Diceros bicornis minor: one gene and its partner. The protein of the gene in region 1 binds, or shares a complex with, the protein of each later gene. Links are inferred from orthologs where the notes say so. Each region holds a gene or a part of one and is shown on either strand. Other genes may lie near its edges.

Region 1 (11,553 bases):
ACCCTCCTGCTGCCCAGCCCACGTGGATGCCTTTGCTGTGTTCAGGACCCCTGCAAAACAGATACAGATGGCAGAACATTTCCTCCTCAGCGTCCTGTGCAACTCAAGCCAGGCATGTGATCCAGGCTCCATTGCTTAAATTTACCTACACAGACTTCAGCTCAGAGGCTTGGGGAAAATTCCACGTTGCTGGCCAGGGCAGCAGCAGAGGGGTCTGGGTTCAGGGGCGCAGTGGTTATGGGATTAGTTTCTTGCCGCAGCAGTGGCATGGGTGCTGCAAGCTGCTGTGGTTGCGGTCAGGTTGGTGGCAGGGGTAGCAAGGTGTTTTCTTCATGGAGGTTTGGAGCTTTGTCACCGGAAGCTTAGACTGAGCTCTCCAGCCCTGCCAACAACGGGGTAACCACAAGCTACCCAATGTCATTTTAAAACTTCCTTTCCTAGCCCATAAGCCAGATTCAGCTTCTGTTGCTTGCAACTAAGAACTCTTAACGATAGTCTAGTTCAAATTTGCCCCAGCTCTCATTTCTTGAGGTCCTAGCAACAATCTTTCTCATTTGTTCAGTGTTTGCAATGGTCCCAGGGACTGTGCTAGGGGCTTTTACATGCATTATCCCATGGAATTCTCACACCGCCACCATGAGGCAGTTACTATTCTTATCTTCACTGATAGTGGGAAAAAACCTGAGATATCAAGGCATTAGAGGACTTGTCCAAGGTCTTACAAGAGGTTAATTAAATATTGTGATAGTAGATAAGCTCTTGAAGCTAAACATGGATTCCAAGACAGGGGGTGGCAGTCAACAAGAAAGCTTTCACTCTGCCCTCCACGGCGGGACAGGCAAACTAGGCAGGTCGTCTTGTCTTCACAACCTTCTCTACTCTGAAGTAAGGACTGGGGACATTTTACTAAGTTCATAGATGGTGAAATAAAGACACAAAGATATTTCACTGTCCAAGAAGGATTTTTCCAGGACAATGGTAGAGATTATTGACAACGGTACATATTGTTGGCCCACGAACATGTTCTCTGAAACCCACCAAGGGCTAAGGGGACGTGTGCCAGGTAGACAGTGAGGCATAGCAAAAGAAGCTGAAAGTCTGCATTTGACTAAAAGCATCAACGTGCAGGCCTGCATTGCAAATACATTTTAACACAGGTAATTTCTTCTCCATTCATTTTCAAGCACTTATTTCATTTACACAATTCCAAGGCGAATAAATCTTGGCATTAAGGCTGATTTGATGTGTGATGCAGACAGTCCAATTAAGGATAGGGTATTTTATCAGCTCCTCTAAATTTTCTTTTCCCTAGACTATGATCTTTTATACTGGGTTGATCTCTTTTTTATTCATAAAGGCTTCATTCCCATTTATCATGGCTGCATTAACAGGACATCTAATGAAGACTTGGATATGGAAGTCTGCACCTCATTTATCCTCAACAGCAAAATTAATAAGGCAGCAGGAAAATAGCTTCCCGAACTGGAACTTCTTTAGCCCACCCTGAGTGATCTAAAATATATTTTGCATATGTATTCCAGAATTAGGGCTCAGCTATAAACCTTAGGAGGCAGGGCCTAATGTCAACTTCTATCCTCTGACAGCCTGTATGCTATTCCCCTGTTCAACTCATGCTTGGAGAGGCTTGGATTCAAGTGGCCAGGAGCCCATTTGCCCACTCATTCCCTCTACACACAGTTTCTGAGCACCTTCTGTAGACCAGGCTCAGGGATACAAAACAGACTCAAGAAAGTCACAGTTAACTGGGTCATGGGACGACTGTTAGCCAATGGAAAAAAAATACCTTAGCCAAGTATTAAGGTTAGGAGCAAGCTGGAAAGATTATCTGCTCTATCCTGCTTCTGGGAAGATAACTCTCTCAACCAGTTTTCCTGTTAATTAAGGCCAAATCACAGACATTGACTTTGACTTGTAAACTTTATAGATATATGAATACATTGGTTTCCCAGAGCTGTCATAACAAAGTACCATAAACTGAATGGCTTAAACAACAGAAATTTGCTGTTCTGGAGGCTAAATGTCCAAAATCAAGGTGTCAGCTAGGTTGGTTCCTTTTGAGGGCCGAGAGAGAGGGATCTGTTCCAGGTGCCTCTCTTTGGCTTGTACATGGCCATCTTCTCTCTCTCTCTTCACACTGTCTTCCTTCTATGCCTCTGTGTCCAAATTTCTCCTTTATATTGGGACACTTGTCATATTGGATTAGAGCCCACCCTAACGACCTCATTTAACTTCATTATCTCTATAAAGACCCTATTTCCAAATAAGGTCACATTCTGAAGTATTGGGGGCTAGGACTTCAACATATGAATTTTGGGGAGACACAATTGAACCCATAACAAAGAGTTTCTGAAAGTCTCTGAAACTGGTTTAACTAAAGCTCTAAGACAGCCTCTAGCAGCACAACATTGTTAGAACACTGGATAGGAAGCTAAGAATCTGAAGGTCAAGTTCCAAATTAGCCACTTCCTCTCTCTGAGCCTCAGATTTTTTCTCTAGAGATAAGAGATCTGGACTGGGCCTCCAAAACCCTCTCACATTTCTAGGATTGTGTTACTGATAAAGTGAGAGTTGAGGCAGCATAGGAGTTGGGTAAATGGTGAGGCTTCACCACTTACAGGGTGGAGGGTAATCTTGAGCAAGTATTGATCTTCCGAGCCCCAGGTGTGTTTTTAACTGTAAAATGGGAATAGTGATAGTAGTTACTTTATAATTTTATTTATTTATTTATTTTTCCCCCAAAGCCCCAGTAGATAGTTGTATGTCATAGCTGCACGTGCTTCTAGTTGTTGTATGTGGGACGCGGCCTCAGCACGGCCGGAGAAGCAGTGAGTCGGTGCGCGCCGGGATCCGAACCCGGGCCACCAGCAGCAGAGCACGCACACTTAACCGCTAAGCCATGGGGCCGGCCCAGTAGTTACTTCAAAAAGGTTGTGAGGACTAACAAGACCCATGAGTTACCTGGCACACAGTTGTCACTCCGTGTAAGTGAACTGCTAATGGTATTACTGCTATTACGACCATTAGGCGTCAGGCTTTGGATGGAGGACTCAGCTCTCACGTGGTATCCACTATCAGAAGGCAGGGGTATGCCCCCATCCACCGGTGTCCTGTCCAGTAGCTCGCATGGAGTGAGAGCTTTAGCTGGCAAGACTCTTGTGAACCTTGAGACATGCCTTTCCCCACCTCTACCTTATCCAGATCCTATCCCATTCTATACAGATCATTCACATTCATGTCATCAGGCTTAGGGCTAGGATTTCAGGCGACTTTTTTTTCTCACTAAATTTCATAATTTTTATACCATAGAAAAGTGTAAGAAAACATATTTAATTATGTCATTTAAGACAGCTTTATAGAGCAGCTGTGTAACTCCAGCCCTGCGAGCTGACTCTTGCATGAACACTGGATGGCCTGAGGTCTGTAGTAATCATTTGGCTCTTACCTTCATTGAACTGTTAGTTATTTTCTCACGTGTGTCCTCCTCTAGACTGTAAGCAACCTGAGGAAAAAAACAAGTTTTCTTACTCAGATTTAGCAAAGCATAGTTATTGACTCCCACAATGTACCAGCCCCTCTTACATAAGATATCTCATACAAATAGGAATAATGCCTCCCCACAACCTGATGAGGCAGGTAATGGTACTTCCATATCACAGATGAACCCCTGAGGCTCAGAAGTCACAAGTGTAGGCAGTGGCCAAGCCAGGATTCAATTCTACCTCTGTCTGACTCCGCGGCCACCAACCTAGCATACTGCTATCCTCACCAAGTTATACCAGCTCAGTAGACTTGTGGGCCCTTTCCCTCACCTAGGATCCTGCAGTCTGAGTGGAGTTTTCCATGGCCTTGGTGCCCCCTAGTGGCATGTGAAGGCCCATTTCCCAGCCCAGCTTTAGGCTCATTTAACTGCAGGCCTGTGACCCTAAGCACTTGAAAGAGTGACCAGTGGGGTCCATCCTGGGGTAGCAGAGTCCTCTGCACCCAGAGGAGAGCTATGCCCTCTCCCAGAGTGGCACTTCTTAAATCGACCCCCCAGGAGGATTCAGCTCCTGACAGGTCAAGGAAGAGGGGTTAGGGTCTCAGGCCAACAGCAGTGAGATGACCTACAAGGCCTGGTTCCACCCACCTGGCCTCTCATCTCCCACTTCCCAGTCGGGACATGTGGGCATGGGCATTCTCTGCCAGACCTGCCTGGGCTTTTCATTTTCCAAAGAGCCTGTTTATGGAGGAGAGGAGAAAGAAGAGGATAAAGGTGGTTAAAGTTCAGGACTTAAAGGTTCTTTACATTACAGAGTCCTTTTCCCCAAGACCCATCGAGATTCTTCAATAAATATTAGTTGGATTCCTATAGTGCTCTGCAGCAGTCAGGATGCAGAAATGGAGACAATGCTCTTCCTGTCCTTGAAAAGTAAACATACAAAAAATTACAACACAATGACGCAAGTACTCTAATATGGGTGTCATTGGACTTTTCCCGTCACCCTAAAAGTTGTTACCAGTACACAAAACTGAGACCAAAGTACCATCAAATATCCTACAAGCTGAAGAAAGTAGAAAACAATTAGGGGTCAGACACCTCCTCCAACCATCACCCCGGCCCGTAGGACGTCCCCAGCTCACATAAGCTGCCTCACTCCCTCTACCTATCTGGGCAGGGGCAAAACAGCAACAGGGCAGAGAAACAGGGGTAGTGTGATGTAGCCTGCCCTCCCACCTCCGGTGCAGCAAGGACATGTGGGCCAGCGGTCATCCTCTTCCAGCTTGCACATTTTCCCTTCAGAGGTCTTCCCTACAGTTTAAAAAGATATCACCGGCTTCTCTGAGAATCCTTTAATCATTGATCTGGGTTTGAGAGAATCAGAGGTATCCTGGAGCTGCAGTAGCCAATACGGCAGCCGCCACCCACACGTGGCTATTGAGCCCTTGAAATATGGTCAGTCTGAATTGAAATGTGCTGTCAGTGTAAAATATACAACGGATTTTGAAGACTTAGTACAGAGGAAAAAATGTAAAATATCTCAGTATTGTTTTTAATCGATCACATGTTGATAATATTCTGGTCATATTATTTGGATAAATAAAATATATTATTAAATTAATTTCACCTGTTTTACTTTTTCAGTGTGGCTACTAGACCATTTAAAATTACAGATGTGGCTCACATTACACATCTTTCGACTGGACGTCACTGCCCTGGAGGTTAAAAAGCCAGAGCAGAGAAGCCCTAACCCTGCAAAACTTTACACCGCATGGGACCACAAGGGGGCGGTACTGCAGCGTCGAGCTTCCTCGGGCAGGACCGGCGGAAAGGAGGCTGGCTCTTCACGTTTTCTAAAGCTGTCTTTTAAGGGTAGTTTTAAACTGCTTTTCCTAAAATTTAAATGGCCCATCATGTTATCCCTAAGTTAACATAAACAATTTTTCTAGGGCAGGAGTCCAAAACTCCTGAATTACAACATTCAAGCCTGGAATTTTAAGGAAGCTGCAAGTTTCACCATTAGAGCTAGGGAATGGAGAGAGACTGAATTCAAGTCCAGAGTAGCCTTAAAGCTGGGCCCCAGACCAGAAGGTAGACTGTGAGTAAAAGCTGGAGGTGAGAGGGTTGGAGAAATCGTACATCTAAGAGTGATGTTAGGAGGACTTAAGGGCAGGGAGTGGGTAGAGGCTTATGGGGGATGGGAGAACCTATGGACATACTCCCATTTTTGTCAAAATGCTACGAATCTGAGTGTAAATTCGTACCACCTTTCTGGGGGGCAGTTTGTAAGTGTACATATCAAAGGTCTTGAAAATGTCCACATCCTTTGACCCAGTGATTCCATTCTAGTAACTTATCATAACGAAAATCTTAAACTGCACAGATATTTAGCTACAAGGATATTCACCCAGCGTTTGTAATAGCCTCCCTCTCAAAAAAATCATCAACCCAACTGCACATTAATAAGGGGTTGGTTAAATCAATTAAGGTACAGCTATAATAAGGAATATTTTGTAACTATTACAAAGGATGTAAATGAATACTTATTGACATGGAAAGACATTTATGCTAAATTCTGTGAAAAAGGACAGCTACAGGAATTGTATGGCCAGTATGTGTCCATTTTGCTTAAAAAAGAAAAAACATTAAAATTATCCATTTGCAAAAACAATGGGCTGGAAGGATACTCTTCAAGGGATTAATAGTAATCTCTGGACAGAGACGATGGGTGGCTTTCTTTCCTTACTTTTACAACTGCGTTTATAATTAACTTTTTTAAATTATTTTTAAGTAGTCCTACTCAGTCGTCTTTACAAGTGCCACCTTCTTTCTCAAAATTTCCTGAGCCCTCACCAAACTAAGAAGCAATGTCTTCGTTAAAATTCCGACACTTTCCCGATCCCCAGCTTGGGTTTTAACCTTGTTCCATCCCGTCCTCTAGTCCCTGTGTGCATGTCTTTTGCCCTACAAGCCTGTGGACCCCTTCCCCGGGGTTCTGTGTCTCTCTTCTCTGTCCCTGCCCCACCGCCTGGATCAGACCCTGCCTGACCGGCCGGACTACTCTAAAACCTGAACAAGATCTGGCCCGACGTTTCGGAGTCGGTTGAATCGGAATCCAAAGGTTTACGTCACTGAGACAAAGTGACAGGCCGGGAACCGAGGCACCGAGGCTTGGCTGCAGACCCCTCTCCTGAGGGGCATAACCCGCGCCGCCTGGTTCCGCAGGGGATCCCGGCGCGGGTCACCTGTCTGTCACAGCGCGGGCAGCACACCTCTCGGCCCGGCTCGGGCGGCGGAAGCGGAACGACGTCTTCCTGTATTCAAAGCGGCGGGCGCGCAGCGAAGTTTGTCCCTCTGGAGGCGCCGTCCCAATGTGCGCCCCGCTCGTGTCACGTGATCGAGGAGCGCTCGGGACCTGAGGCGGAGGGGGACGCGACGGGTTGCGGCTCCCGGGCGAGGGTGGACGGTGGGCGGTATGGAGGCGACTTTGGAGCAGCACTTGGAGGACACGTGAGTAAGACGGCCTCCTCGGCCTGTCCTGAGGTCGCGGCGAGAGGACCTGAGCGAGGCAAAGGGTGACTCGGGGACACCGTGCGGCGCCCAGAACGGGGGGTGAGGCGGTGATCCCTGCCCCGGGCCTCGGGGAGGCTGCTGACCCGGAATTAGAATCCCGTTGGGGCTCCGCACCCTCCCGAGGGAGCGAGCCTCCGCGGCCAAGCCCAAGGCCCAAACCGCCTGTCCTGTTACTGAGATTATATGGACAGAGTTGTTCTTCAGGAGTGTTAGGAAATGGGTTAATTTAGGGGAAACCACTTGTGCAAAGTCGAGCCCTGCAATGTAAACAAACACACGCACGTATCCCCTTCCTGTGTAACCAATTACTTGGTGCTTAAGAAGATGAAAGACATGCCTTAAATTTTTCAAACGAGTCATAGCTACGTAAAATCCAAAATTGGGAAAGTGTAAGAAGGCGTACAGGGAAACACCTCCCTCGCACCAGTGCCGCTCAGCTTCCCACTTCCCCTCCAAGACGCAACCCGTGTTACTTAAGTCTTTCAACAGTTTTAAATGAGTTTGTATGCTAAAGCGTGCATTTTTAACGAGGGCAACAAACTCCTAGAAATTGCAATGTCTGTGTCTCTCCAAAGCTCAACAGTACCTGACACAGTCTTTTCTCTCATCATAGAGAAATTGGTTTAACTATTTAACTTATATTAGCTAATATAAGTTAAATATATAAATTATAATAAATATAATTTATAAATTATAAATTATAAAATTATAAGAAATTATAAATTATAAGAAAAATATAATTTTTCTCGGCTGGGGGTGATAATGAAAAAAGATCGACAAACACTGACTTAAAGCACTTATAACATTGCCTGGTCCATAGAAACCCTGTATGTATTGTTATAATTATTTAAATTCATTTTCTCACATCATCTGCTTCATTCCTCCTGTGTTCCTGGAATTAGAATGAAGAATCCATCCGTCGTTGGAGTCCTTTGCACAGATTCACAAGGACTGAATCTGGGCTGTGAGTATCTCACGCCAGCCCTGTGGTGGATTGCACAGCATTTGATGTTGACTGGGAGCCTAGCGTGCTGTTATTCTCTCTTTTTTATTTCTTGTTACCCTGCCACTTTCCGGGTACTTTTGTGAGTATAGAGATTATCTCCAAATGACAAGATTAGATTAAAACTTTTCAGTTGGTGTGTATGAAGGTGGAAGTGTTCTGTGCAGTTCTAGCGCCACACAGTTGTTGCTACTAAAATTGTGTTGGAATCATTTTAAATGGGCTCTAGAAAGGACTTCAGATAATGACAGCAGTTACATTTACTGAATGTATGCTGGGACTGCTAGGCTTTATATACATTATCTCTGATTTTCACAGTCACCCTGCAAGATGCATGGTGCTATTTTTTAGTCTAGCTGCATTTAACCCTAAGTGAGTAGGCAGTAAAAACAGGGGCTTCCGAGTTGGACACACCTGGGTTCAACCCTCTGCTCTTGCATTTGCCAATACTGTGAACTTGGACCAAAAAGAACCTTTCTGAGCCTCAGTTTCTTATTGGGTTGTTGTTTAATAATGATAATAATTATAGAATTATATTTATTGAGCTCTTACTATGTGCCAGGCGCCATACTAAGTGCTTTACATATACTAAGTAGTCTAATCCTCATAACAACCCTGTGAGGTGGATAAAGAAATTGAAGCACAGAGGTTGAGTAACTTGCTTCAGGTCAAACAGCTAGTAAGTGGTTGAGCTAGGATTTGAGTCTGGCTCCAAAGCCTCTTAATCACAATACTATAAGATTATATAATATGTGTAAAACACCCAGATATAATGCCCAATCAATGGTAACAATTACAAATGAGGAAATAAATCCAGAAAGGTAAATATCTAAAGCATTCAGCTAATTAATCTCAGAACTAGTAAAACCAGGACTCCTTGCTCCTGCTGCAGGAATTTTTAAAGCACTGAATTTTAGCTGGGAGGGTAACTGAAAGAGGTAATCTGTGTAACCAGTTACGTTTTACACACAAATCAGTCAGTTGAAAAAAAAAGGCAGATTTTTTTTGAGGCGCTTGCCAAGCTCACAACTGGGAAGCTGAAGTTCAAGTGTAGAAGTCTAAAACTAAATGAGTTCTTTCAAGAAACCTTCAAGGCCTGAAAGACTGCACTGGGTCTGGCTAGTTAATGTTTTCTGTAACAATAGTAATCTGTGACTCTGCCATAATGGTGTGGCTCTTACCTGCCTTAATGTCAGGCAGTTAGGCTTGGGTTGCCTTTATAGACAGAAATAATATTGTAAAGTAAACTTCATGATTACTTTTGTACCTGGGACCCAAGAGTTAGTTATTATCTACAGGCTAAAAGAAACATTAATAAAAAGCCACTTCTCTTGACATTTGAAAACACCCACCTTATTCGGGTGGAAATAACTGCTCACAGAATATTCCCATGTGCTGTCAAGGTGATCTTACAGCTGAACTCCTGAGTAAAGACTTTTATATCCTTTGAGGTTGAGCTCAATAAAAGGAAGTCAGATTTCCTATGAGGAATTAATTAGTTTCAACAAGCCTCTTGCCCTTATTGACTGCTGTTTGTCAGTGTTGCCTCTGAATTTCTTGTTGGTTTCAGTAAGGTTCCTGTAAAATGAATTTATGACTTTCAGATTGACTTGAATTACAGCTTCCTTATATGCTTGAGAAGGTGTTTAGAGATGGTGATGGGAATGACTTTGAAAATTGAGTGTCTGTTATGAATTTAGTGATTTAAGAACTGTTGTCTGGCTTTCTCAATGATGTAACCAGCTGAGTATCAGGGCAAAATCATTTCATGTCAGTACCTAACTTAAGAGACCATGAACTGAGCCGCCTTTTGTGAATAATCAATGAGAGATACTACTATAGCTCTATACTCATTTTTGGACAATCAGGCGACATGATCTCATCTCTGTCTTCCAGGTCGTGGGACCCTGTCAGATGAGCATGCTGGGGTGATATCTGTTCTAGCCCAGCAAGCAGCTAAGCTAACCTCGGACCCCACTGATATTCCTGTGGTGTGTCTAGAATCAGATAACGGGTAAGTAGATGTCAGCAGATCCCTTCCCTTCCTTTTTATATAGAAAATCCCTGGGAAATTTGACAGGGGCCTGCCCTGTGTTCATCAGTGATTCCTCATTCAAAGTACTTTGAGGGAGGATCTTCACTCTTTGGAGCACAGGAGCAGATAAATTTGATCTGTGAAGCTAATGTGCTTTCAGACCACAATGACATTTAAATGAAGAGTCAGAATTGTCATGAACTATCAGTCTGTCAAGAAAAAGAAAGTAATAAATAGCACAGAGGAAGACTAAACAAAGAACAGAAACTACTTCTGTAGTAATAGAAATACCAAAGATATTCCAAGTGAGGGTCCTCAGAATAATAGTAAATGTAAAAAAGCAGAATACAAAACTAGGCACAGTATGATCACAGTTTTGTAAAAAGAGAAAAAAACGTATAGATAGTATACACACAGATAAAAAAACAGGAAAATATTGGGGCTGGTGCGTGGCATAGTGGTTAAGTTCAGCACGCTCTGCTTTGGCAGCCCAGGTTCATGGGTTTGGATCTTGGGCGCGGACCTACACCACTCGTCAGCTATGCTGTGGCAGTGACCCAAATACCAAATAGAAGAAGATTAGCACCGATGTTAGCTCAGGGCTAATCTTCCTCAAGCAAAAAAAAAAAAATAGGAGGAAGATTGGTAACAGATATTAGCTCAGGGCAACTCTTCCTCAGCAAAAAGAAAAATGAAAATAGTAGTAGTGGTTGTCTCTGGGTGATAGGAGTATAGGATTCATTTCATTTCTTTATTTTATACTTTTCTGTATTTCCCAAGTGTTTTGTTGTGTTCATATATTGCTTTTATACATAGAAAAATAAGTATTATTTTTTTTAGTTGTGTCCTAAACCAAACAGCATCTTTAATCTTAACACTGATTCTCACGTGTAACGTTTTACTGAATATCTTCCGCTTTGCCTTTCAGGAACATTATGATCCAGAAACATGACGGCATCACAGTGGCAGTGCACAAAATGGCCTCTTGACGTCTCCTGTCAGTTCTCCAGCAGCCTGTCATAGGGACTTGATCCTACCTGTGTTAATTATCTTGTAGAACTATTGAAGTTTCAGTAGTTAGGCCATTCATTTAATGTGCATTGAGCACTTCTCTACTAATTTTAGATTAAGCTGCGTTATGACACTCTATGACACTGTGGACTAGTAGTTAAGAAAGGATCATGTTTTGAAGCAGCAGGTCCAGGTCACTTTGTATATAGAATTTTGTTATGTTCAATAAATCTGGTTGGAGGAAAGCTTGTTAAACTCTTATCAAATGTTCCTTTTTTCAGTTATCAAATTGTAATTTTTTTAAAACAGGTCCTTGCTCCAAACTACTCTCTACTCTTTCAGAAGCTTCCTGAAGTACATATATTCTCACAGAAGTGTCCATGGATATTTAAAAAAATCAAGTATACTTGTACCCCATAATAATAACATAAT
Region 2 (12,496 bases), on another chromosome or scaffold:
CACATTGGACTACTGCCTAGTTAAAATCTAAAATTTTCTATAAACCAATGAAAAAGAAGAGTATTCCAACAATAACTTCCAAAATTTAAAATTATTTTTTTTTAATTACAAAGAAAAAGTGAGTAGAATGAGGATCTTCAAGGAATTCTTGCATATCCCTTTAATAATCTGGCGGGCAACACAGTCCTAGAATTCAGGCTTCCTTTTTGGTTTTACTACTATTAAACAGACACTTTCATATAAATGGAAACATTCTCCCTCAAAACGTTAATTCAAAACATACTCCTTAAATTAAGGATTACATGCAACCACATTTTTTTATAAATTCCCTGTGTGTAACTTTTTCCTGTTGGTACGTGATTCTTTTTCATTTAATTTTATTATCTGCTGGTTTTGGGGCCAATAGATTTGTGAATATTCTGTGGATGTGTCCGTGTATAGGTGTATATATATCTATATTTTTTTTCCAGCTAATACCTCAAATGCGTGATTGTTTAATATATACCACACTATGTTTGCACAGAGCAGGGCTTCCATTAGTGGTGGATATTCTGATTTCTGACTTTAAAAATCAGTCCACAGAATTTCATTGATGTGAATTCTTTCTGTTAATCTTTTTCATATTTTAAAACAGATTCCTATTATAGAGCCTATACTTCAACTATAAGTGTATCTTTCTATAGCAATCTGGAAATGTGTAGGGGTAAGAACTGTTTCTTGAAATGTCTTAGTTTAGTAAGTTATTATTAAAAATTGGGATTACTGGTTGCTGAGCTGTCTAATAACTGCATAGTAGATGACACTTGGCATGAATGTGAATAAGTCTCATTCACTTCAGCACAGGAGTTGGTACATTCCAATCTGACATTCTACTTTGCCATTTAATAGCACCACTTAAGTAATAGAGATTTTTCAGTGACATTGGAATATTTTAAGCATCAGTTTCAAAATGAATTGTTTTTGAGTTGGATGGTGGTACCAATGAGAAGAAGGAAAATCACACGTAAATGATATTTTGTGATTTATTTGTATTAAGAAATGCTTCTTACCTATTTTTGTTTTGTCTTTGTTTTTCTGGATTGCTACATAAATTTTTTTTCCATTTAAAGTTTAAATCGTGTTTTTTTTTTTTAATAATTTTATTTATTTATTTATTTTTCCCCCAAAGCCCCAGTAGATAGTTGTATGTCATAGTTGCACATCCTTCTAGTTGCTGTATGTGGGACGCGGCCTCAGCATGGCTGGAGAAGCGGTACGTCGGTGTGCGCCCGGGATCCGAACCCGGGCCGCCAGCAGCGGAGCGCGCGCACTTAACCGCTAAGCCACGGGGCCGGCCCTAAATCATGTGTTTTTAAAAGCTGCAGGTAATTTTCAAGGTGTGATAGAATTTTAATGGAAGCCTTGTATAAGTCAAATGAGTGAAACTGGTAAAGGAGCTCTTTACTTTATTTGTCTATAGTGCATTTAAGATTATACAATTAGATTTAAAAATGAAATGTCTGATTTGTAAAATATTTAGTGTTATATCAGACTTATATAAAATAAAAGTTTCTGTGTGAGAACTCTGTTAAAAAATGCATTTGATTTTTCATGAATGTTCTTCTGAATGATTTATGATGAATTTGTGTCTTTCAGTCTCTGCAGTTTATCTCAATATATGAATAAAAAGAAGGTGTGTTCTCACTGTAAAGGATTTGTTTTTGTCATGTTTTATATTCTTAATATGCCCTTTTTTTTTCATTCATTCAACCATTCAACCAATGTATGAATGCCTGCTCTATCCCAGGTGGTGAGCAGAGTGCTGGGAATTCACCACCGAACAAGACAGAAATCCTCATGAGGTTCACATGTAGCGAGGAAAATAAATGTCAAGTAAATAACTAACTATGATTATGATGGATGCTACAAAGAATATTACAAGGTGCAATGAAAGGATGTATTTAGAAGACTTAACCTACTCTGGGGGCATCAGGGAAGGTTTCTCTGAAAAAGTGAGCTAAAGCTGAAACCCAAAAGATGAGGTAAGTAGGAGTGAGGTGAATGCTAGAGAAATATTTCAGGCAATGTGCGAAGTTCACAAAGTCATTGAAACTTTATGAAAGTGAAAACAAACTTGTTTGATTATGGCATAAGGAAGCCAAGGTAAGTTAGAGAATTAAAATAAGATAGGGGCCAGATCCCATAGACCATATATAAACCATTATGACGATAATTGGACTTTATCCTAAGTCAATAGAAAACCTTTGAGATTTTTGAGGAGGAGTTACATGATGAGATTTGAGTTTTTAAAATATCGTTTTAGTTGCTGTGTGGAGAAGACTGAAGGGCAAAAGTAAATGTAGGAAGGATAGGAAGTTATTGTCAAAGGATAGGTGATCATGGCTTGGACCAGAGCAGGAATATTAAAAACTTTCCAAAAATTTGGCTGTGAAACGGAGTAGAGAAAAAGGATGGGGGCTAGAAGAGTATGGTGGTTGCTAAAGAAAGCTTTTATTTTTTCAGTTGTTATTTATTACATGAGACTTTACTATCTATTATATGAGAGATCTTACTAATTTTTTTGTTCTGATGGAAAGGGGTAAGTAGAAAGTGAAAGAGTAAAGATAGAGAAAAGAGGAATAGCGGTAAGTACCTGATGTGTCCCAAGGATATAGGAGCCGTTGCAAAGATAGAAGAATTCCTTTAGCTAAGAGACGCCACCAGCATTCTTTCAGAAAGGAATGCACAGAGGATGGGTGCAGATGCAGGTAGATTTGTAGTGTTGGTGGCAAGATGTTATATGGCTTGCATTTTCCTGATGGAAATAGGCAGTTTATGTAAAGTGGGGGAGGGGAAAGAATGATAAGCAGATGCTTAGAAAGAAGACAATTTGAAGGAATTATTTTCACTGAGTCAGCTAACTAGTGAAAAAGCAGGATTTCTATGGGTCCCCGGTTGGTGACAGAATTTACAGTCTGTTTAGTTGTATTTTCTCCAGCCTAATCCAGCAGCTTAGGCATAGGCATGGAGATACAACTCAATTAACTCATCCAAATTTGGAGTTCTGTCAGGTAGGAAAGACGGTAGGGGAGGCTAAGATGTTGACGAGTGATTCCAATGCTTGACTATTGGATGTAAGCCAGAGATCAGAATTAGTGATTTCTGAGGTGACTGCCTGAGTCCAGGGTGTGCTTAGAAGTAGTATAGAAGAGAAGGTTACTGCATATGACCTTACAATTGTATTCCCAATGGGCCAAATCCCAAACCACAGCCAGAATCAAAATTAGCAAAACATTTTCTAGCTTGGCCAGTCTAAGTGATAAAATTTTTGTTTTTGTATGTTGGAGAATCAGTAAGACTCTCCTCTCCATATGAATTTGATTACCAACTAGAATTTTCACAGAGACAATGGAGCCAGCCTAAACCCAGATGATTGTAGATTTTTTTTATAGGAAAGCAGAATCAAAGAAAAATTGAGAAATCTCTGCTGTATACAACAGCTAAGAGAAATTTAAGCTAAAGAGATGCAGAAACAAAGGCTCTGATATAACCAATAAAAGAACTTTAACATGTACATGTTTATATAATGTACTAGTATGCTGTGTACTAGAAATTTGAATGATGAGATAAACATTTTGTGTGCATGTGTGTGTGTGTGTACAGTTTCTACTAGTTTCTTCCTGAACCTCTGGGATCATCTGGTGCTCCGTACTTTGGAGAACTGGTACATAGTGCTGATAATCTTTTAGGTCAGTCGGTATTTCCCCTAGTCCTGTACCAAAAGCAGTGAACGGATCAATCTGAGTACCTAAGGAACTCTCCCACTGACATGCCATAATTTGGAAACCACCACACTCGGAAATTAGAAATCTTATTAGTTCTTTCAATTTCAGGACATGATGTTTGGAGAGCTTGGCAAGCAATGCTCTCCCTTTTTGCCGCTCAAAAGGAAGAAAAAAAATATTTTCCAGGTCAACTACTTAGGTCATTAAGATTGAGAATTTTGTTAAAATGAAAAGTAGCACTTCCAGAAATTAAAAGTTCTTACTAGAGTTCATAGTTTTATTTGCCTCTAACCTTGGGGGCAAATGGTAGAGGGGTGGGGCGCATAAGAAGTTGTAGTTAGGGCCTGAATTAATGGTTTATTTTAATCACTTTTATTCCACAAATGTTGAATGAGTGCCTACTGAGTGCAAGAAACCTAGGCATTGTAAGAAACTGGAAAAAATCTCCAACATGACCCAGCCTTCTAGACCTTATGGTCTCATTGGGAAAACAAACCAAAACTGTGACACATATTTATGCACAACTATCAGTCATTCTTGGTAGTAGATAGTAGCATTCAAGAGAATGTGACGGGTGAGGAGATGTTATAGGGAAACAAGATTTACATAGCTAAGGTGGAGAGTGAAGGGGTTCAGAATACGCCACCCCAATATATGCCACTTGGGCATATTGATTATTTTGAGCTGAAGGCTCTAAGAAACAGCAGATACAAGAAGGGCTCTCTGACCTCCCTTTTTTTTTTTTTTTTACCTAAAAGCAGGTCATAAAATTTCCTGTGAGAAAGGTGTCCTCCCTCCATCGGGCAGAGAACATTCTTATCACAGAGACAGGACTGATGCCAAAATGGACCTGTACAAACAAACCTACTAAAATAGCCCTTCCATTAGTTTCCCCCATATATTTCAAAGTCACTGTCCCACAATTTACTGCCCCTAGCCCAAGCCTCTTTGTCTTGTGACATCCCCATAGTCTGTTGTTGTTTGCGTAGAAAGGTACATAAGCTTTTGGGCCTAACGGCTTCTTTGGATCTTCATTTTCTTTCTGAAGGCTCCTGTGTACACGTAAAAATATTAAATAAATTTGCATGTTTTTCTGTTAATCTCTCTGTGTCAGTTTACTTCTTAGGCCCAGCCACAGAACCTAAGAGTAGAAAGAAGTTTTTCCTCCCCTACAAGAGAAATAAACATTTCAGATTAAAGGAACCTCCAGAAGCAGTGTGAGAAAATAAAAGTCATGTTGATGGCAGGGTGAGGTAATCACTTTGGCTGCAGTATAGGATTCACATTAGAATGCATTCAGGGGGCCGGCCCAGTGGTGCAACCAGTTAAGTGCGCGCTCCGCTGCCACGGCCGGGGGGTTCACCAGCCCGGATCGCGGGCGCGCACCAACACACCATTTGTCAAGCCATGCTGTGGTGGCATCCCATATAAAGTGGAGGAAGATGGGCACGGATGTTAGCCCAGGGCCGGTCTTCCTCAGCAAAAAGAGAAGGATTGGCAGATGTTAGCTCAGGGCTGATCTTCCTCACCAAAAAAAAAAAATGCATTCAGAAGTAAAACAGAAGATGTTAGTTAGTGTCAGATCAAAGATTCAACCGTATCGTGGTCTGCAGTGGTACATCACTCAAGATTTTTTCAACAGCAGTAATGTGTGCTGTTTTAGGAAGGTTTATCTAGATGTTATTAAGTAGCTATTAATATAGTCTTGCTGAATAGAATAATGGTTTGAATGAAGAATTGAAAAAATATAGATGCAAAAATCGCCCTCAGGGAAGAACAGAGGACATGAAGAAGGAAAAAGCGAACGTGATACTTGCCTAGTCGAATCATGGAACCGCGCAGACACAGATAAGGAGAAATAGGTTTATCGGAGAAGTGTTTAGAGCATTTGAGTTAGAGCTGACAGTAAGACATGTTATGTGGAAATATCCAACATCCAACAAGCAGCTGAAAATGTGAGCCTAGAGCTCAGATGAAAGGTACAGATTTAAGACTCGCATTCTCAGTGGAAAGAGAAAAATAGCAGAGAAATCCAAGATGAGATTTAAATGCCATTATCTAAACAGTTAGGAGACTAGAATGGGTGAGGACCTAAAATAACTAGTGCAGTGTACCAGAAGCTAAGAAATGAAAAGGTTTAAATAAGAAAAAGGAAATTGATCTTCAATGATGTCAGTTGCCATGGAACTGCCAAGTTCACTTGTAACGATTAGGAGGTCATTTGTAACACTTGAAAGCTTTGTAGTTTACCATTTCATCCTCTTAAGGAACTAGGAATTAAGTATCCAACTCTTTCACCACGTCTGGGCTAGAGTTAATTCCTTTTGCACTCCTATTTTTAGGAATTGGAGCTGAAGATCAGTGTAAGCAAGTTCCCATAGACTTCATTTTCCTACCACCTACTGTAAGTTTGTGTTAAATGTGCAAACCAGCAAGGCACCAAACCAAAAATAATATGGGCAGTCCTTGGAAGGCACAACCTTCTAAGTCAAGAGCCAATGAAAGAAGGTTGTCCAGTATCTGCATGTGTTAAAAGTGGAGGCTGGAGGTGCACACACAACCGAGAGAACGCCACACAGCCCAGAGCTCCTCGATCCAGTCTTGACGAAGCCTTGAGTGAGAGCACATGGTGGCACCCAGGAGAAAACCAACAGAGACTAGGAAGTTGGGGTCAGAAACCGATTGACCTGGGCTTCTGATCACCGGCAATCTGCTGCTTGCTGTTCAGCTTGTAACACCATCCCTTCAAATTGTTTTACTTACAAGAAGTTTTCACATAACGCGCCCTGAAAAGCTAATGAAATTTATGCACCCTCTCCGCACAAAAAATGTCTTCTTGCAAGCATTATCCGGGGGGCTTTAGGGCCCGGCGGTCTCGTAAGAATCGTCTATGCAACGGCCGACGTCCCGACGTCTGCGCAGGCGCAGGCAGCAGCCCGCGGAGGGCGGGGCGCCAGTGCGGCCGCGCCCACCGGAAATCTCAGGTCCCCGGGGGTCGGAGGCGTAGGAACTGCTTCCTGGAGCACAGAGGCCGTCAGAAATCATGTGACGACGGCTCTCCGAGGAAGCTGTCTCTGAGGCTGTTCTTGAAGTGACAGCGGAGAGGACCGGGCAGCCTAGAAAGCCAGGTAACTGGAGCCCTTTGTCCTGTGTCCAGTGCCGGGCCCCTGGCCCTCTCCCTCGGGCCTGGGTCTCGGGGGAAGAGGGTGGAGTGGCTGAGAGGGGCGCCCGGCGTCCCGGCGGCTGTCTGGGAGCTCCGACTCCCGTCGGCCTTCCTGGTCCGGGCCGGAGCCGCGCCCTCCCGCCTGGGCTGCCGAGCGCCGGCCCCGCTCGTTAGGCCGGGGTGGGGAGGGCGAGGCTGCCGTGGGCAGAGAGTCACCAGGAGCTTCTCTTCCAGGCGTGGAGCTGGACCCTGCGGGAGGAAGGGGCTCGTCATGGCGGATGTGAGTTAACGCCCCGCCCGGGGCAGGAGAGGGTGGGCGTTCGGAGGAGGCTCCCGGGCGCGCAGAGGTAGCGCTTCCCAAGTAGCAGTTGCTGTCGTTTTAGCGCTCCCCTCGTTATTTCCTCCGGAATCTGGAGCGAGTGACTAATACGAATAGATTCGCGGGGTCCTGAGTGCCTGCTGGAGTCGAGGTGGAGGAACACTCAGGTGCCTGAGATCGGGAAAATTGTATTCTTCCCGCTCCCCTGTTCTGGGGCGGAAGAGGGGCTCTGAATGTTTACTATTTGAATTTCTAAACGATGGTTTGCTGCTCTGAATCTTCTTTTCCAGCAAGTGGTCATGATGTCTCTCTCGGTTCATTGTGGCAATTTGAGATGATTTCTAGTTGATGTCTCTTTAAAAGCACAGCGATAAAACCGAAATTCTAAGTTTAGGGAATTTAATTGTACTAGTTACTAGGAACAGCAGAGAATTAATACTCCTACTACTGTTTATGTTTATATTTTACATCCTGTTATTATTTTGCCTACATGCTGGGTATTCTAAACATTGAACATATACTCTTTAATTCTTACAACAACTTTTATGAGATAGCACTATTATTATTCTTGTGTTGCAGATGAAAATGCTAAGGCACAGAAGATTAAGTAACTTGCCTCAGGTTATACAGCTAGTAAGTTGTGGAGTCAAGATACCAACCCAGGCAGTCGGGCTCCAGAGTCCATGCTCTTGACTACACTAAAGAGTCATTCAACATTAATATGAAAGTGATTTTTCTTTTTAGGTTACAAGGTTGTGTTTCAACATTTAGCAACTTTTTATGCCCTTATCACTCCATTTTTGGGTGTCTTACATTATATATACATATATATATATATATATATTTTTTTTTTTTGTGAGGAAGATTGGCGCTGAGCTAACATCCATTGCCAGGCCTCCTCTTTTTGCTGAGGAAGATTAGCTCTGAGCTAACATCTGTGCCCATCTTCCTCTATTTTGTATATGGGTTGCTGCCACAGTATGGCTTGATGAGCAGTGCGTCGGTCCACACCCGGGATCTGGGCCACTGAAGCACAGTGCGGGAACTTAACCACTATGCTGGCCCCCCCCCCCCCCGTTATATTTTTGAGACCTTATTATTTTTTAGGCAGAATCAAATCACTAAATATCTATTGAGCATCTGCCTTGCAAAGGTTGCTGTAATAAGGGCTGTGGGTGGAATAAAGATGATTAAGGTATAATTCTTCTTAAGGGTTTTTAAAGTTTAAAAAAAAGTACTTAGATATGCATGCATTATAGTGTGAAAATACAAAGGAGAGAGGAATTATATCTGGTTTGTCTTTATCAGGAAAGCCTATTTGGAGTATTTGGTGGTTGAGGTTAGCTTTAAATAATGAGTAGCAATTTTGTTAAAAGTAAGATTGAGAGGGTGAGTGTCACTAGTAGAATGAATAGCATAAGCAAAGTTAGAGGGATAGGAAAGGGAAAGGTGTGTGTGGAGGAGCTGGGACCTGTGAGTAGTCCACTTTGGCTGGGGCTGGGCATATGTGTGAGGGAGTGGTAAGAAGCAGGACTGTAAAGTTAGTTGTAGACCTTATCGTAGAGAGCCTCAAATGTCTAAAGAATTTGTACATAGTTCAGTAAACAGTGGAGAGCCATTTAAACATTGCTTCTCAACCTTGGCTGCACAGGGAATCATCTGGGGAGCACCTCCCCAGGCATCAGTGTTTATTTTTATGCTCCCCAAGTGTTTTCCATAACCAGGGTTGAGAAGCACTGCAATTATGGCTTTAGAGAAAGAAAATAATGTGATTATTAGCATTGTGTAGAACTATGTGGGATAGAAACGGGAGACCAGCATACCGTTTGGGAGGCTAGTGCCAATCATAAATAATAAAATAAACCTAAATTATAATGTCAGTTGAAAAAAGGAAGAGATCAGTTTTAAAACATTTGACTTCACAAGTGTTTTAAAAGTAACACGTGAGGTTAGGATTAAATATTACTCTATGTTTTAAACCCAAATAACAGGATTAGTAGTGCCATTAGTGGAAACAAGAAGAGATTGAGGAAATCTGGATTTCTGATAAAACAAAATGAGTTTTTTGTGTGTGTTTAAGATGAGAGCAGAGATAAGCTGGTGGGGATAACATGAAATAAAATGAACATTCAGATTTGGAGAATAGTAGGGATTAGAGACAAATATCTGATTTACTTGTGTGGAGCTCATAATTGATACCTGGTTGTCAATGAAATTCCCCAGATGAGAGAGCGAGATGAGACATAAAATAGTCTTCTATTTCTTTAGTTCTAATTAGGTTCCATGCTAAACAGTTGACACACATTATCATTTATCTTTAGTCATGTGAGGAAACTGAGTTTCAGAGAAGTTGATTAACTTACCCAGGATCATTGAAGTGATGTTAGAAAGTCTGTCTATGGACATGGAAAGATGTTTACAATATATTCTCAAGTGAACACAACAATAGCAACAGGTTGTAAAATAGTGTGAAAATTATCATCTAATTTTACAGCTAATCTGTATTTGTCTTTCCCATTTCCAGATATGCAAGTCACTTTACATGCATCTTCTCAATAAACTTGAAAAACAATCGTGTGACATGTTCTATGATTATCCCTTCTCAACAAATAATCAAACTGAGGCTTAGAGAAAAAGGTTAGTTAACTTGTCCAAGTCACACAACTAGTAAGTGTCAAAATCAGAAACAGAAAGAACACAAGCAAGAAAGGTTGTGAGTGATGACTTAAGGTACCTGGAGTGTGGATAGGACAGTATCTAGAGAGCCAGTTCAAGGCGTATTGATTTTTTATATTCTCTTTCAGGATCTAAAGCGATTCCTGTATAAAAAATTACCAAGGTAAAAAATTACTAATTTGTTATTAAATAAATTCTGCATAACATATGTTGATTTTATGTAGTATTTTGTTTCTGTTTTAGACTAATATTATGTGTATATTATGCTATTATTTAGCACTTTCAAATACCTAACATAACCCTAGGTAGCACAAGAGATGTCCATTGAATTTGCAGGTAAGTAACATGAGGCCTAGAGAAGTTATGTGATTTGTCTAAGGTTAAACAGCTAGTGAATGCCAGAGGGGTAGAGCTCAGATTTCTTGCCGATTTTAGAGTTCTTTCAAATATACTATCATAGCAGTTTACTGGATTATACTTTGAAGTAGGGTAATTGTAAGGGAAAAACCTTAAGAACTTGCCTTTACTTTTAATATTGATTTTAAGACCTAATTGCCGAGTCTTTGTAACCCGAAAATCCTAGACTTAGACAGCAGTTCATACTTGGAAAAATCGCAAGGCTTTCTTTTGCCTGCATACAGTCCATTTGATGCACCATTTTATAAATTAGGCTCTTGTGTTGAGGACAGCACAGTTCCTTTTAGATATTTTACTGATTCAAAGGACTGTCACTTTAGTTGAATTAAAATTCATATTTAGTTTACTGTAAAAATGATACCTGCAAGTTAAGGGCATGAGAGAGAGGACTATAACTTGAGACATCCATTTTCACATTCCAGAATAATTCAATAACGTTTGAGGTAATATAGCAGAATATGTGATGTGAGATCCTTTTTTTATTTCTTATCCTCCAAATCTGTTTGAAGTTAAAAAGGTTTTAGATGTCACTTTATTTCTGTGGGTAGGAAAAAAACACTCTGGATTTTTGCCTGAATTGTTTGGTGGGGTTTGCCAGTTAGCTTGTGCCTTTACTCTGATTACAGACCACTAGAAATTAATGACATTATTTTCTGGTTTTATTATATCTATATTTTTCTTTTATATTCAGGAAGAAAACACTATTGAAGTGTTAAGTAATTGTTACCATTGATTTCTTGTTAATGCAATACTTAAATTCATTTTTATTCTCTTCCTAGTATTGGCAAACTACAAAGGCAAGCTGCTGATTCTGTTCTCAACCTAATGATTACCAATACAGGCAGTCCTACTTTGTGCAGTAGTGCAGGGGCATAGAAATGGCCATACAAGCTGAAAGTGTCCAAAGCAATTTTAGTAAGCAATGGGAAAAATGACAGTTGTTTTGTGACCTTTAAAAAATTTTGTCTAAACATTAAAACCTTGCAGGGGCCAGTGTGGTGGTATAGTGATTAGGTTTGCACACTCCGCTTCGGCTGCTTACAGATTCGGAGGTTCAAATCCTGGGTGCAGACCAATGCACCACTCATCAAGCCATGCTGTGGCGGCATCCCATATACAAAATAGAGGAAGATGGGCACAGATGTTAGCTCAGAGCTAATCTTCCTCAGCAGAAATAGGAGGATTGGCAGTGGATGTTAGCTCAGCCTGTCTTCCTCACCAAAAAAAAAAAAAAAAAAAAACAGAAAAACCTTTCATATTGTTGCTTATGTTTAGGGGAAGGAAAACAAATGCTAAAACTAATATTTGTTTAATACACTATAATTTAAAACAGTAGAAACGTGAGAATTAGAGTGTTTATTTCTTTGTAAAAAACTTACCGAGTATAGTTTGAACAGTGTTTGCCTGCTTCTTTTCATATACCTTAAGACATATGAAAGGTATATCCTTAAGATAAGGAACAGGCGTCTTTTCTGTGTCTTGGCAAATTGGCTTACTCCTTTCTAAGTTTGAATCAGCTTACAACATTTTGTCCTGTCTACTTTCAATGCTGTGAAATATCTCTGAGAGTTCCTTTAATGTAGTTTTTTTGCCAGTGTCACTTCCTCTGCTACATCTTCATCCTTTTCATCACAGCCACTTTCCTCATTTATGTCAATAAATTTGCCTTCACTGAGTTCCTCTGGCTGCACATCTAGTGCGCAACAGTGGCAGTGTCAGCATTCCCTCAGCCAGCTATTTCTTTTGTAACTTCGTTTACTTTCTATTTGAATTCCACTTCCAGCATTATAACTTTTCATTTCTTTGCTGTATTTCATCTTTATTGGCCAGTTCCCTATTTCAGTTATTTATTTATTTATTTTTTGATGTCACATGGTTTATCATTGGAAGACAGGGAGATAACAAAACTATATGCTTTGCTATCTCTGCATAAACTGAATAATAGATGCTCAGTGACCAACACACTTCGAAAGAAGTGATGTGATTGGTTGCCGATCACAATGTGCATCTGTTATGTACAAAGTTATTTACATAGTGATTTGTGAACAGAAGAGTTAGTGAAGTTTGTGCTTTATACAGTTACTCAGTTAATATACCGTACTTACTGAAATTTGACCCATGCTGTTGGGAGAAGTGGTGGTATTTAACTAAACTGTA

The links.
Region 2: LAMTOR5 (region 1) and LAMTOR3 share a complex: the UniProt entries of both Homo sapiens proteins name them as parts of the ragulator complex. The link is inferred for Diceros bicornis minor from reciprocal best matches to the Homo sapiens genes LAMTOR5 and LAMTOR3.

The regions. Positions count from the first base shown.
Region 1 is NC_080743.1:43,422,137-43,433,689, reverse strand, and holds LAMTOR5 (ragulator complex protein LAMTOR5), read left to right. Parts: upstream 1-6,901; 5' UTR 6,902-6,974; coding exon 6,975-7,009; intron 7,010-7,974; coding exon 7,975-8,036; intron 8,037-9,971; coding exon 9,972-10,089; intron 10,090-11,038; coding exon 11,039-11,099; 3' UTR 11,100-11,376; downstream 11,377-11,553. UniProt on the Homo sapiens protein: As part of the Ragulator complex it is involved in amino acid sensing and activation of mTORC1, a signaling complex promoting cell growth in response to growth factors, energy levels, and amino acids.
Region 2 is NC_080747.1:82,606,610-82,619,105, reverse strand, and holds the start of LAMTOR3 (ragulator complex protein LAMTOR3), read left to right. Parts: upstream 1-6,799; 5' UTR 6,800-6,892; intron 6,893-7,161; 5' UTR 7,162-7,198; coding exon 7,199-7,207; intron 7,208-10,050; coding exon 10,051-10,085; intron 10,086-12,496. UniProt on the Homo sapiens protein: As part of the Ragulator complex it is involved in amino acid sensing and activation of mTORC1, a signaling complex promoting cell growth in response to growth factors, energy levels, and amino acids.